Linked DNA regions of Lepisosteus oculatus. The protein of the gene in region 2 purifies or fractionates together with the protein of the main gene of each other region. This does not show direct contact. Links are inferred from orthologs where the notes say so. Each region holds a gene or a part of one and is shown on either strand. Other genes may lie near its edges. The genes, in order: scyl1 and sec31a.

Region 1 (8,085 bases), on a different chromosome or scaffold from region 2:
TGATCTGATCTTCTCTTCCTCCCCCCATCCGTCCATCCTCTCTAACATCCCCCCCCCCCCCCCCTCACTCACCACGACCTGGTGGAGCCCCCAGGAGACCTCCAGCTCTCTGGCGCCCCCTGCCTCCGCCTGGGCCTTGAGGTGGACAGCCAGGGGCGTCACCGGCTCCGTCACCACGTACAGGCACCTCTCCGTCTGCGGGCACAGGGCGAGAGGGCGTCAGGGCACCGCGGGGCGCCGCGGGGACGGGGGGGTAGGGGGCGCCCCGAGCCCCGAGCCCCGGCCCTTACCTCCAGGCCGTCCACGAAGGCCAGGATGTTCGGGTGGCGGAGGGTCTTCGTCCTCTTAAAGGCCGCCTTCGCCAGCGCCGTCTGCTCGTCCGAACCCGACTTCACCTCGAAGGCGAACACCGAGACCAGCTCGCCCGTCGCCTGTGCGGGGGAGACACAGAGACGGGTTGGGGTGGAGGGGGGGAGGGGTCACAGCCGCATCGCCTGAGCTGAGCCCCAGCCTGCTCCGAACGGCACAGTGAGCACGATTCGCCCACCCAGGCATTTTCGAACCCCTGTATGCAGTTGAGGGCTGTGGGGGAGCTGGAGTCTATCCCAGCAAGCAACAGGCGCAAGGCGGGGTACGCCCTGGACGGGACGCCAGTCCGTCACGGGACACCCACACACTCCCACCCCAGGGTCCGTTTTCCCCAGAAGTCTTTGGAAATCGGAGCACCCAGAAGAAACCCATGTGAATACGTGAGGGGCATGCAAACTCCACACAGACAGCACCCCAGGGTCCGCAAGCGAGCCCAGGGCTGTGCCCGTGCCGCCCAGCCTGACTCACAATCAGTGTGAACCACCGGAATGACCTCCACTGAGCTGGGCTGGAAAACCTGGAGCGGATCAGTCTGCTGTGCACTGGGAGAGTCTAACTGACGGCTCCGTAAAACCTGGAGCGGATCAGTCTGCTGTGCACTGGGAGAGTCTAACTGACAGCTCTGTAAAACCTGGAGCGGATCAGTCTGCTGTGCACTGGGAGAGTCTAACTGACGGCTCCGTAAAACCTGGAGCAGATCAGACTGCTGTGCACTGGGAGAGTCTAACTGACAGCTCTGTAAAACCTGGAGCAGATCAGACTGCTGTGCACTGAGAGAGTCTAACTGACGGCTCCGTAAAACCTGGAGCGGATCAGTCTGCTGTGCACTGGGAGAGTCTAACTGACAGCACTGTAAAAGATGGAGCAGATCAGACTGCTGTGCACTGGGAGAGTCTAACTGACGGCTCTCTAAAACCTGGAGCAGATCAGACTGCTGTGCACTGGGAGAGTCTAACTGACAGCTCTGTAAAACCTGGAGCAGATCAGACTGCTGTGCACTGAGAGAGTCTAACTGACAGCTCTGTAAAACCTGGAGCGGATCAGTCTGCTGTGCACTGGGAGAGTCTAACTGACAGCACTGTAAAAGATGGAGCGGATCAGTCTGCTGTGCACTGGGAGAGTCTAACTGACAGCACTGTAAAAGATGGAGCGGATCAGTCTGCTGTGCACTGGGAGAGTCTAACTGACAGCACTGTAAAAGATGGAGCGGATCAGTCTGCTGTGCACTGGGAGAGTCTAACTGACAGCACTGTAAAACCTGGAGCAGATCAGACTGCTGTGCACTGAGAGAGTCTAACTGACAGCTCTGTAAAACCTGGAGCGGATCAGACTGCTGTGCACTGAGAGAGTCTAACTGACAGCACTGTAAAACCTGGAGCGGATCAGACTGCTGTGCACTGAGAGAGTCTAACTGACAGCTCTGTAAAACCTGGAGCGGATCAGACTGCTGTGCACTGAGAGAGTCTAACTGACAGCACTGTAAAACCTGGAGCGGATCAGTCTGCTGTGCAGTAGGGGCTCTGATGGACAGCACTGTAAAAGATGGAGCGGATCAGACTGCTGTGCACTGGGAGAGTCTAACTGACAGCTCTGTAAAACCTGGAGCAGATCAGTCTGCTGTGTAATGGGAGAGTCTAACTGACAGCTCTGTAAATCCTGGAGCGGATCAGACTGCTGTGCAGCGGGGGCTCTGATGGACAGCACTGTAAAAGATGGAGCGGATCAGACTGCTGTGTAATGGGAGCATACCCGGCCACACTAAAACCTTGCCTGATGGTGCTGTAAAACCTGGAGCTCTTCAATGAATTGGGATCCAACCTCTGTACACAAGGCCCGCCGCTAAACGGACTTTCCGGGAACGATGATCTAAACACCGGCTGCTATCGGGCCCAGGGGGAACAGGCTGCGCTCCAGAAAGCGTGGTGTTGGCAAGTCACCTCAGGAGGAGGAAAAGAAAAAAAGAATTCTGCCCTCCTCATCTGCAGCGACAGCTCCGCACTCAGTGGGATTCAACGCCGGTCAAGGTCCAGCGGGACCCCAGCACTTGAAATAAACGAGGGGGGAAACCGCTGGACCGGGGTGGGGGGGGGGTGATGCGGAGGAGGGGTCCGTCCTGCCTGGAGAGAAATTAACAGCACGCCAGTCCAGCTGTGCTTCCCCTGCCTATATAAAAGGCTCAGGTCTCCCCCCCCCCCCACACGACACAGGATTTTGCCAATTAACACGTCAAGGGAGATGAGAGTTTAAACAAGCGTCTCACTCAAGTCCTCTACACCCAGCGACGTGGCGACAACAGACGTGTTTATACCGGATAGGGGAGCGGACAAAGGCGGACATTCAGGTGATTATTTTTAAAAGTCATTGACAGTTCGTGCGAATAGGCATTTTGGCCCCCCCTTTTTGTTTTTTTGCCCCGTCTCCCTAAACCTACCTGCAAAATTTCCCCCCACAACCATACAAGCCCCCCCCGTCCTCCCCGCACCGCCAACTCGGCCGCAGCCGCTACTCGAGCCCGGGGCGTCGGCAAATCCTAGGCCTCGATCCCCCGCCGCCGCCTCTCCGTTCACCGTTTCAGATCAAACCCGGGCCTTACCTTCCGTTTCCCCCGGTGCAGAGTCCATATTCCGGACGGCTCCTGGGTGTCCGGTAAGATTTCGTACTGAAAATCTTTAACTGGATCCCGGGCGAAGAAGGACCACATCCCACCTTTGCTACCGACATCAAAACACGGAATGAACTGCGGGCTCGTCTGCAGCGCTGCCGTGCAGTACCGCAGCGCCACCGCTAGAGGGGGGGAGGCTAAGCCTGCGTGTTATATTACTGTCCGGCCGCTAGGTGGAGACACGCCCGCAGGATGTCGGCCTCGCACGGGTTTTAATTTTTTTTAATTTTATTTTTTTTAATTAAACGTATAAAGAATTTACAAATACAACTACAACCCGAGGCTCAAAAACAGGTACAAGAGGAAAAAACACGAACAGGAAAAAAAAAACCTGAGGTAATGAAGTAAATTATGTGATTAAATTGTATTTTTTTTTTACATATATCATCCGTTTTCCTTACTTTGTCAATTTTTTTAAATAGAATTTAAATAGTTGAAGTGGAGCTGAAAAAGACCTACAAAGGGGAGGATTATTAGACCCTTTTGATTTATGGATGTGAAATTTACCCAGAATGACTAATGAATTGACTATAAAAAAAATGCTCTTTTTCCAAATGTTCTATTAAACAGTACAATAAAATATCAAAATCCTTCAAGCTAAAAAACACCTTTAACTGCCTGCCAACACACCTCCGCAAACCGACACCTCACAAATAACTGCACCAAAGACTCCCCTTCAGCTCGACAAAAAACACACAGATCACCCTGCTCAGGCTTTAGAGCGATTTAGAGAGCACTAATTGAACTGGATAAAACTTATGAACAACTTTCAACGATATCTCTTTAACTTTGTTTGTAACACACTCTCTATCAGGAGTTGTCCAAACTAACTCCTAAGTTTATATTTTCAAACATTGCATTCCAAAAAGATAAACAAATAGGGATATGATAATAATAATAATAATAATAAAATAATAATAATAATAATTGCTTACACTTATATAGTGCTTTTCTGGACACTCCACTCAAAGCGCTTTACAGGTAATGGGGATCCCCTCCACCCCCAGCAGTGTGTACCCCCACCTGGATGATGGGGGTCTACACAGAGATTCCTTCTGTGAGTATTGTTACATTTCTTATCCTTTATTTCCACGCCATCCCAGAATAAATCAGTTGTAGGACCCAAAAGGAGGTCAGTCCTATTAACACTTTGATTTGCTTTTAACAAGCTCACTACACCTTCCGGAATGGTATCAAAAACTATCGCATATTTCTTAGGGGGGGGTGACAGGGAACTGAAATCTCTCCAGGAATTCAGGATAAGTAAACAATCTGCCGTCTTTATTCAACAGTTGAGCCACCAAAAGAGGAGAAACGTGTCGTTGCCGTCTCTGTCCAGGAGAGGGCGACCAGACGCCATCAGAAAGCAGAAGGCCGTCCGACTGTTGTGATGATATCCCTGCTCCTCAGCGAATTTAATTATTTAACCCTCGCCCTGTTCTCCCGCACAGGGTCTCAATGGGACAAGGGCAGACGAAGAGGTCAGCCCCCATAGTGCAGTGTACGAGAAAAGGGGGCTCATTATTCTGGACTTGGGGGTCCCCCCCAACACTGGCTGCCCTTCAGCCCGGCTGAGTCCTTTACTGAACTGTTCTCTGATTCTCAGAAAGTTGCGTCTGTCGCTTTTGAACCAGTGAGCTGAGCCCCTTGGAACCAAGACAACAGGGGTCTTATTAACACTCTTGATGGGGACAGCTGATGTCAAGTTATTAAAATCGCCATTTTTCCCCAAGTTTGATCGGCTTAAGTGCTGCTCGGGGGAAACGAACACATCACAAACACGGGGTCCCCCAAATCACAGTTCATGTGACCCCGGTTATCCGTCGACTTCCAAACCCGATCTACAGCTCCTCAGATGGGAGGCTTAAAATGAAGAGACGGAGTTCTCCAAGTTCAGCAGGATAGCGGTTGGTAAATTTAACAAGCAACAGGTCTAATTAGTCCATTATTAGGTGACAGAATGAAGACTTCAGTGGGGGAACACAGACTGGGGGGGTCACAAGAACCGGAGGCAGACAGGAGTCCCGCCTCTCACGCCCTGAGGAATATTCTGGCACTAAACGGACCCGAGCTGAAGGTGTGAACCAGTGAGGGGTACCACGTGCAGTACCCTGGTTTAGGGGCAGCCCCCAGTACCCAAAGGTTCCAACCGGCACCCAGCGAGAAACCCCCCCGAGTCTCGATTAGGTATGGCCATGCATCTTACACGCAGGTGGATCAGAGCAAACAGACCAGGAGGAATGAAAAGTCACAAAGACTTCAGAAAACACACCCTTTCGCATTAAAGAAATCTACTCCAAAGGAGCAAACCGGATTTCTCCCCTTGTGTCGTTGAAGATGAGCTGGTTGTAGATTGGGCTGGCTTTCGTGGTGGTAAAATGTGGAATGCGGGGGTTGCTGGTTAGTGGCGATCAATGCATCACTGCTACCAAAATGACAAGTTTATCTTTTACACGTTGCAATACAATACTTCAAGAGGAACCCTGCAGAGGAGTCGAGACTGATGGGGTTAGTGGGACTCTGCAGATACTGGGTTCACAGATTCAAACTGCTTTATTGGTAAAAAGTGTTGCCAAAGCACAGTCACTACAGCATCTACTTACATTTACAATACAAATGCATCATTGGCATTAACACACACCACAGAACATTAAACCGGCTCCCTGTCTGTTCCTCAGGCTGGGACAGGAGATCACACACTATTATTATTATTGAGAGACAGGCTCACTGTCTGTTCCTCAGGCTGGGACAGGAGATCACACACTGTATTATTATTATTGAGAGACGGGCTCACTGTCTGTTCCTCAGGCTGGGACAGGAGATCACACACTGTATTATTATTATTGAGAGACAGGCTCACTGTCTGTTCCTCAGGCTGGGACAGGAGATCACACACTATTATTGAGAGACGGGCTCACTGTCTATTCCTCAGGCTGGGACAGATCATGTACTGTTCAGTCAGCTCAATAGTTATTTTGTGCAAGCATGTTATTCCAAACCCAGAATACTTGTCACAGTGCATCCGTCTCCATTTCTCCCACAGGGGAGAGGGAGCACAGCCCATCCTCAGCTGAGGAAAAGGCAAGACGTGCTGCCCGCCCAGCAGCGACTTCAGTACTCGCCGAGGGCGTTTCAAGGGCACACTCCTAACTGGTCTCGGACAAGCTCGAGTCCAACAGACACCCCCCCAAGTCACGTGGGCCACACTAAAAAAAAAAACACTCCACAAAAGTGCACACCAAAGCAGGCGAGCAGCTCAAGAGCAGACGGCGAATCCGCAGGTCCAGGATGGCAGGCGTCTTCTGCAACAGCACCGTGTCGACTGAAACGGGCCGAGTTCATGTGCTCAAACAGGGGATCGTGAATTATGAACCGCTCCCGGGGCGCAACTAGTGTCGATTGGGTTAGCAAGTTCCACATCAAGCACGCAGTAGTAAACGCCGGAGTTCTGTCTGGTTTATAGTGCAGTAGTACAAATGAAACCAGATCCTGAGAAATCCTGGAGTTGTGATCTCACCCCCCGCCCCGAGAGGAATGGAGGTATTTGGGCTAGGTTTGACCTAGTTTCATACACACCTCTATTCCCCACTGGTGGTCAACCCATACAGGCTGGGATTGGACCGTTACTCCTATGAAATTCAATTTAAACCGGGATACAGATCATCCCATTCAAAGCAAGGACCCCTCAGGGAGTCGGACCCCACCCTGGAGACCAGGAGTGCCACCACTGGAGTCTTTTGCTTTTTAAAAAAAAAAGCCAATCAAAAGGGAGAAAAGCAAAACCTGGGGGAACAGAGACGCAGGGTTTTTGTTCCCCCAGGGAAAGAGAAAAACCCTCCATTGAGACTCGATCACTGCAGCTTTACACAAGGGGGAGAACGACCCTCGGCCCGGAGGACCCTCTCTGGCACAGAGACCAACAGGCCGAGAGCTGAAGCGTCTTGGCGCAGCAGAGACACCGCGGGGAGTCGAACCCCGTCCCGGAGACCGGGAGCCCCACGACCGGCGCCTTTTGCTTTTTTTGCGTTCGTTAAAAGGAGAAAAAGCAAAACCTGGAGGAACAAGAGCTTGTTCCCCCAGGAAAAGAAAAACCCTTGGATAAAGCTGCTTCGCCTACGGTCCCTGCGTACCTCGCACGGAGCCTGCAACAACTACAGAGAAGGGTTGCCGTCCCCCATTCCCCACCGAACCCCCGAAATGTATTTGAAAAAATCGAAACGAAAAAGCGAAGGACTGTCTTACGACTGGAGAGGCCAACGGGTCTTCCGACCGCCGTTTTCGTGTTTCTTTTTCTTAAAGAGAGACAGAACAAGCACCCACAGAGAACATCAGCGCCGCACGCGCGTGCGCACCAGAGCGAACTGCATGGTTTACCAGGAGAACCCGTTGCTGCACGGGTCTGTGCGTCTTGGTCAAACACTTTAAGGGGGTTGGTATGTTGCTGGGTGACCTCTCAAAACGTAGAGCTGTTGGGAAAAAAAACTAAAGAACCACTTTATAGCCCCCCCACCCCATCCATTAGAACCTCAAAACTGCTTCGCCGATTTGATCTCAGCTTACTGTACTGCCAAGTCGAGTTTATTTAATGCACTTCTAATCTGAAATTATCTTATGTGTGCAGGATATCCCCACTTAACTCTGGAGCCTCAAAACTAGCTCTAATGTATTCCTACTAAACTACTTAAAATGCCCTATTTTAATGGAAGACATTCGACCAGGTAGTACACCCAGGTCTAGCCCTAGGGGCATTTGAGGCTCTGAAAGGTCTGTGTAATATCAGTTTTGGTGTTGGATTAACTTACTCTCCAAAGCCTTGTCCTCAAGCTTAAGTAGGAGCCAGGAAAAGTCATCGAACTGAAGAGTAAACATCTGAAAAGCAACCCGAACACCCCTCCCCAAAAGCACGTGCTGCTCCAGTGGCCGTTTTCCAAGTTAGGAGTCGCTTATGCCAGTAAGTCAAGATTTTCCATCCGGGGGGGAGGTTTGACCTGTTAAAGTGACTGAGAAACAGGAGAGAAGAGCCGGGCCCCTCTACGCTGGCGGAGCCAGATTCA
Region 2 (8,048 bases):
CTTATCAATAACCATGTTTAAAGTAATGTGTGGTCATCAAAAACGATTTGATTACGGTCCGTGAAGGAGTAAAAACATCACAGAACTTAATTCAGCTAATTTAGTAGGCATGAAATCTGCATTTTCAAGATGTTATTCAAGCATTTTTGGAAGATAAATCTAAAATCTGCAGGAATCTTGTACTCAAGGACTGTCTGCCTCCAAGATACAGGATAACAATGCTTATGCCATCAGTGGTAATTTTAGTTCCGTGGTCCTGTTGGAAAGATATTCCAAAATAAACACTATTTTTTGTGCGAGTGTTTTTCATGTTGCCACCAAAGTCCACAGAAAACTCTGAGGACAAGTTCAGACCTGCAGGTCATCAGGTGGAGCTTTCTAATGATGCACAGGCCCCATTTTATCAACAGACACTACAGCTTACAAAGAAAAATATAATAAATAATAATCTGCTTATTTACATTTAGCTCCCTTTTTTAAAACATAATCAATTTCTAAAAAGTTATTTAATGGAAAATGCAAAAGGAACTTTAGAATGAAGTAGTACAAAAATGGATTTTAGCATTTACAACAGTATTGCATAATAGATTTTTACAAACATTAATAATAACCTGCAAGTTAATTTTCACACAGCAATGCATAGATCATAAAACACAAGAGCCAAGCCATGAATGGGCTTGGAGACATAAATTATAAGTTAAAACGGTAACCCTTCTCGGTTGTAATTCGGGTATTACTGTAATCACAGATGTCAGCAGAAAACAATTAAAATCAGCCTTGATGTTTTTAAATGAGAGACAGTGATGCTGAGAGCAAAACTCAGTAAAGAGCTGTAGTTGCCCAAGGGGCAAAAACAAATCACTAATTAGAGAAATAATTAACTGCACCATTTTTAAACAATTTGACTGAGTTAATTTGAATGTCACAGAAACACATTTTGGACAATGCTGAGGTTTAAAGGAGAAATATTAGAATACATCAGTGACCTTTAACTTTGCCAAAAGCACCTAATGACAAAGTTTTGAAGAAACAGTTAGACCTCATGCTGAGACCTAACAAGTCAAATGACCTGCACAGAAGAAACTAAGGCACTAGATGAGACATCAGCTCCCTATACGAATTCAAGTTAATGAGGTCACATCAGGGTTATCAGGACTCCAGTTCAAATATAGCCTGCCCACTCTGGCTCACATCCACTCGAGAACAAGAAGAGGAGGTCACACAACAGAAAGACCAGCATGTGCAAGTCCTTCCCAACAGGCACAAACCCACAGGTCCAACGTCAGACCTACCCCACTCACCAACATGCCATTAAGTAAAAGAACCTTATAGTGTGTTTGGGAATAATCATTCATTGGCTAAAATGTGGATGCAATACGTACAAAGCATACAGGGGAAAATGGGACCCTCAACCCAGACAATATATGTGCTTTTAAGGCTGATTATACCATATTTTAGCAATGTGACGTAATCAAAAATTGCACAATGAACCTAGTTGGTAGCCTGAAGTCAGTAGTATGATATGTATAGTAGGATGATAACTCTGCCAACCGCAACACTCTTAATTATAAGTAACCCAGAATCACTAACTCTCCTCTCAGATGGCTTTATTTGCAAATCACTGGCTAATGCCATAACTGAGAAGACTTGGCTGGAAACCCAGAACTGCATACGCAGCAGGTCTAATATGGTTTTCGTAAAGGCCAGAGCACAACAATTTATTAAATACGAAATTTTAGGGCAGTTTTGTAAGATTCTCATCCCAACTAGTTCTCACACTTTTAAATTCTTCTCCATTAACTTTTAAGACACATTTTTTCAAACAGGTCATAAGAAAGAACTCTTATGTCATATAAATCTTTAAATCATGTACTACATCTTCTCAGTCCCAGGGAGTTCTAGTTAGGGAAGAGAATTAACATTTATATGATTAAACCTATTGTTAAAACATTGTTTATACTTAAAATTAGCCATTTACAGAGAAAAAGACTCACCACGCCTAAATATTTCACCACAGTGAAATGCAATAATTCTTTTTTAAATGACTTAAATTTAAGTGCGATTAAAATGTAATTATGAATAGGAATTACTATTTGTGAAATTACAAATATTCAAACAAAGACCATAACGAGGTCGAAATTGTATTAAAAAATGTTTTATTCTACACTCTCATTGGCCACAGTCTGTGAACCGTATGCAGCGATACACAAGAGGGCAAAGGCTCAATAGATAACTAGCCACAGCGTTTTGGCACCGAATTGCCGTTTCTGTGGTAAAACATATAAATATGAAAACAACAGTAAGCGATTTCCTTGATCCTTTTAAAAACGCGTTTCTTTTAAAGAGCAACGTTTAATCTGTTAAAAAAATGAAGTTTTACGACTGGTCTAATTCATAGATCTGTGCCAACAAGCACTGTTTTTTTTCCCAGTGATTCGCTGGGGGGGGTAATACTGTAAACACAAATTGTTTTCGTAAAGCAGCACATTAATGCTGAACAGAAAACCACAGCTCCAAAACGCCACTCATGCAAACTTTTACCTTTTTTAGATGAATGAAACGGAAAGACCAAAGTCGACAGGAAACTGCGGGGCAGCATGAAGCTGCGTCCAAAAATACGGTTTTACGTCGCGTAACCGGAGGAATACTTGCAAAGCATACACGTAAAACCGAGAGTGGATTTGTAATATTCACTGGTGCCCGGCGTTGCAGCTGTGAGACCTGAATGCATTGAGGCCTAGGATGCAGATCAACAAATTCAGTGTTCTCCCTGAATGAAGGCTGGTGGTATAGTGGTACCGAGCAGTAATACAAATAAGTGGAATATCTTCCACGAAAGTCCCCTTACCTTCCGTGCACAGTACGTTGATTGCTTAAAATAAAAAAAGTAAATATCAGAAGTCAGCCTGCTCTTGATCCACTTTAAATCGTATATTTCCCCCCTTTATCCTTCAGGTTCCCTTTCCTGGTTGTTACGGGGTTTATTATTTCTGGTCCCGGCTGCAGGTTTACGGCTGCGACTCAACAAAGTCCACGTCCCCATCAACGTGGCAATCCTCTCTCCACCCCTCACACTGAGCACTTCCGGCGAGCGGAGCAGGACGGTGCTCTCGCAGCCGGCGGAGGAGAACGCGGATCTCTCTCCCAGGGTTCAAGACGGTCCTTGCTCGGGGACCGACACATGAAGTTAATAGGTTTGCAACAATCAGAATTGCACAAATAGAAAATGCCTGTATAATTTAATCTTTTTTTCATTCACTTTTTATTTCTAAAATATTATCGCATGGATGCATCTTTTGCGACGCCATTTACTAAAACCTTAATTGTAAAATACCACGTATTTTTTGGTACTTTTCAGAAGGGGAGAAACAAAAAATTAGAAAAACATGGTTTAAATATATATTTGCAATAACTTAATGATTATATTCCAGCAGGAATGTAATGTCACAAAAAATGATCTCACCTTTTCCACGTTGTTCTGTAAAGATGTTTATAATCCATTTATGCATGTCAGAATAAATTAAAGCCTAAAACCCTGGAGATTTTTTCATTTTTCTTCACTCATTTCAATTCTCAAAATTAAATTGGATGTAAAATCATATCAATCTTATGGAAAACGTTCACTCAACAATTAAAGTACATTATTTAAAGATGTTATTTCAATTAATCATGTTTGGTTTACTTTAACAATCCAAATGCTCTGAAGCAGCTCCCAAACATGTTTTCATTACCTTAACAGGAAATCCACTGCAACACGCTATCAAACTATAGTTTTCATGTAATCTTTTGCCTCCACTAGGTCTATGAAAGGGGGCATTGTTTTACAGGTTTGCTGCTGAAGCAGCATTGCTAGGATAACTACTTTTCAATTAATCTGTCTCCCAACTCAGCACAATCTCTTTAAAAAGGTTCTTGGGAGGCTTTAGACAAACTAAACCTATGTAGTTCAAGTGGGTAGCTGCATGACCTGCAAAGGAACATGTAAAGGTTTATTCCATGCTGAAAAAAGGAAAAACATTTCAGCTTGGGACACACCTGAAGAAGGCTCCACAGCAGAAATGTTTCAGCCTGTAATAACCCTCTACTTGTTTCTAAACCTACATTGTTTCAGACCCTTCTAAAAAAAAAAGATGCCCTGTAAATTCCACAGAATATAAACCAATACTGAATGATCTCTTGGTCTACGTGAGGCCAGGTGATCAGCATTTGCTCATGGTTAATTCCAAAATGTGCACACTTGGCTCACATCAAGACATCATTAATGTGGAAAAGACTTGTACCCAGATATCCAGATCCATTTTGATAGCTATAAACGCACAGAACACGTAGTGTTTGGTTACCCAATAAGACATTGGCTTGAGGCAAGAAATTCAAAGAACTGCAGTCATGTTTCATTAAAGATATTTATTTGGCACAAAATTACATTACACTTAAGAATTAAGGCTTCAGAGTAAGCCTGGAATATTACCAGAATTTACAAGAACTTAACTCTTGTGGTAAAATAACTAGTGTGAGAACCAAAAGGCTCCACATATATATATATAAAGCCATATAAGAATTCCTGGATAATGTTTGAAATCTCATTTTTACATTAATGTGACCTTATCTGCAACACCCTAAAATTGATTTCGTCTCTACACACATACTTCTCTGAAAACAGCTTCTAATAAACCAAAACCAGGGCTCTTGTTTTACATGGTTGTTGAAATGTCTGCAACACAAGTTTATGGCCGATGGGTTGAGGACTGGTTGGCTTGTTCCCTATGCCATGTTGAAGCCGATATTCCGGCTTCCATGAAAAAAAGGGCTTGGATGTGAGAAGCCTATTGTTTTTTCATGGTTAATTGGTCAAGATGGCCCCCCACATTTGCAAATGAGAGGATTCCCCACAAGATCAGAAGCAGCTGGTCTTCAAACCAGGCAAAAGCAGGTCTAGAGCATTCGTGTAGACTCCTCTGTAATCCCCAGGAACACTGCAAAGATAAGAATGTCAAGATCACCAACACATTCAACGGACTTCATTGCCTCCCATTAGGAATTGATATTTTAGTTCTGCGAGATGTAGACTGAAGACTCCTTCCATTTCCACACAAGGCTATGGACACACTTGTAAGATTGTTGGCTCGTCCCTGATCCCCCCCCCTGCACTGCCAGATTGACCTCATGGTCACCAGCAAGACACCATCTGTGGAAGGCTTCCTTCACTGGGCTCAACATGAAAACCCGGCTGAGAGATTTTCCAACTATTAGGCGTGTGCATGAAGGATAATAGTTAAAATTCCAGTTCCTCAATGCACTGTAATGCAGTCCTACAGTCCCGAGACAACACTGTGAATATGAATCCCAAAATACATGACAAATAAATGGGTTTCTTTGAAGATGCTGCTTGATAGAATGCCAGGAGGCCACAAGATGCAATAGCAAATACTGCCATCAGTTAGCATTTGTGGCCTCGCTTAGTGTACACTTAGCATTTGGTAGAAGCCAGGTCCTTTGTGTCCTTTTACGGTGTACTGCAAGACACCCACAGTAATAGAGCCTAGCACATGGGTATATAAGCACCACTGGCCAGTCCTCTCAATGGCAAGTTTCTTAAACCACTTATAGATCTCAAACTAACCCATCTTTCCATTTTACAAGATATGTACTTAAAAATGAAATTAGATGACCGCTATGTGGCCCTTCTGCACCAAGATCTGGCCACTACAGCCAAAAACATTTGCTACATTTTAAAATAAACATTTTTCTCCAGAGGCCTTTATGACGCAATGACTAATCGGGGCCTCCACGACAAAGGATTTCCAGCAGCTGACTGCACCCTCATATACAAGTTTTAATCCTCCCCCCAGAGGAGGGTCAGATGGGTAGTGATTGATTATAATCACTGGGCCAGTCAGATTGGCTGTGATGTGTACAGTGACTCCATGGCTCACCTGCCGAGTGGAGATAATGGTACCAGACAGTGCAGCCCCACAGTCCCTTTAACCTCAGTAGGGTGAAGTGCTCCTGTTCTGAAGGAAGAGAAACAAGAAGAAAAACTAATAAGAATCACAGCTTATTAAAAATCATGGCAAAAAATTGTGTTCAGCAGTTCTGTGATATTTTAAAGGAAACCAAAGCCTAAATCTGAGCTGTCTATTTAATCGAGCTGAGATTTGTTTTAACAAGCTGCACAATTGAAACCTTTATTAATTTTCTCAACTCGGATACGGGAGAGCTCGGGTAAAACAGTGCTGGTGCTCTGTACCCTAAAAAAACGATTTCATTCTAATCGTACTCCCTCATCTGAGCCACACGATTGACTCCGCCATTTCCTGCACTTAGGATTTAGTAACGGGAGACTTGTGTTGAATTTACAAGAAACGGATGCTGCCCTACATCCTTCTTAACTACTGTTAAAGAAGTTCAGACAAGTTAGACTGACACTAGCACTCAATTCCTTTGTGTTCTGTTCGGCGTGAGGTTTGTGGGACATTACACGTGCGTGAAGGAATATACCGCGCTTCATTGTTAAAAAAGGCGCTCGTAAATTACCTTGCAAACTTCAATTACACTCCATCTCCAAAAGGATCAAGACCTTTCAATGGGCAACGAAGGAATCTGGAAGGGAAACAAAAGATGTTTAGAGCTCATCGTTGGTGTTGGGGGAGGAGCGCCAACTTCAAATAAAACGTGGCTTGGAAACTATAACAATTTACCAGAACAATGGAACACAGAATGAACTCTTACAGACAAGATCCTTCACCAAGTGGAATCGGTTAATAAGAACGACAACTAAGTCAGGCCAGATTTTCGTGTCGCCTAAATAGGCGCGGTAAGAAACCGAAGTCAGCCCGTGTCCTCATATAACTAGATAAATCGTAATCACAATGCTTCATGATGTGAACAGCAGAAAAGAGTTTAAAATCATCGGACACAGGCGACATTGGGTATCATCGTAATCATTATTGCGCTAATTAAGTACATAACCAGAGGAAAGGGTGCAAACATATTGCTCAGATAACTATAATTTTGCCGACCCCTACCGCAACCCGACTTGCTGTAACTTACTCCGTGCTCCCTTCTCCTCCACGCGTCTTCTTTTTTGTCTCACATCGTTGAAATAATCTTTTGTGCATACGCCAGCATTGCACAGCACACCACATGTGCCACCCCTAGGATCAGCTTTCCACATCGTCTTCTACTTTGTTCCTCTCACCCCAGCATCAAAAAGGAGCTAACGCTCACAATTTAGGGGTTTTATATGAGCTCCGCGGGGCAGTATGGGTAGGTCGTAAAAAGACGCCAATGACGTAAAGAAAATGTGGACAATACGCGTGGTTGCTTGGGAGTTTTCTACTTCCGGTCTGGAAATACAGTTTAGCGATGATGCAGGTGTTCAACCTGTTGAAATATACGGAAGTGTCTCCCCCCCCCACAATATATTTAACCTGCTTGTTTAAACAATAGTGGTCACACATAATGTTTGAACTTCACACAACTGGTAAAGAGATTTGTATTACCCGAGAGTGCATTAAATTGTACAATCGTCGAGAAGGTAAAGCATGTTTTGAAAAAGGGTGTTAATTCTTTTTTTACTAGTTGCTTTATTGTCAAGTGACGACAGTGAGATATGGAGAAGATTACTAGTCAGTAGGTTATTGGCAACGAGCTTGTAATAATACGGAATAGACTTGTTAAAGAGTTAAACTAAATTACACACAAATTGCAAAGTCTGGATCTGCAACAATCCAAGGAGCTTGAGAGCCGCAAACAAGCTCACAAAAATGTAAGATATATAATACAACTCCCCTTTAAAATAGCCTCTTTCTGGGCTGTTCTGGGTTTGGTAATTGCCAAACGACAATAAATCCGGTGTCATAAACATACCTTCTTATGTATTCATAACATATTCATCATTCAGAAGAGTATTCATACATATTCAAGAAATATAACATCATACAGCAGAGTTACGGACTGGACTGTGTGTCTTGCTTAAAACGTAGTGTTGTCCTGTGCTCTTAACAGTATTGCAGAGAGCAAAGTCCTATCTGCACACTTTCACACCC

Evidence for each region.
Region 1: the proteins of sec31a (region 2) and scyl1 purify together in Homo sapiens (affinity purification with mass spectrometry; 3 studies listed by BioGRID and IntAct, counting the BioPlex papers as one, with this or other methods). This does not show direct contact. The link is inferred for Lepisosteus oculatus from reciprocal best matches to the Homo sapiens genes SEC31A and SCYL1.

What each region holds. Positions count from the first base shown.
Region 1 is NC_090713.1:21,128,507-21,136,591, forward strand, and holds the start of scyl1 (N-terminal kinase-like protein), read right to left. Parts: upstream 3,147-8,085; 5' UTR 3,071-3,146; coding exon 2,963-3,070; intron 432-2,962; coding exon 291-431; intron 196-290; coding exon 73-195; intron 1-72. UniProt on the Homo sapiens protein: Regulates COPI-mediated retrograde protein traffic at the interface between the Golgi apparatus and the endoplasmic reticulum. Involved in the maintenance of the Golgi apparatus morphology.
Region 2 is NC_090698.1:27,495,375-27,503,422, forward strand, and holds the start of sec31a (protein transport protein Sec31A), read right to left. Parts: upstream 3,097-8,048; 5' UTR 2,849-3,096; intron 1-2,848. UniProt on the Homo sapiens protein: Component of the coat protein complex II (COPII) which promotes the formation of transport vesicles from the endoplasmic reticulum (ER).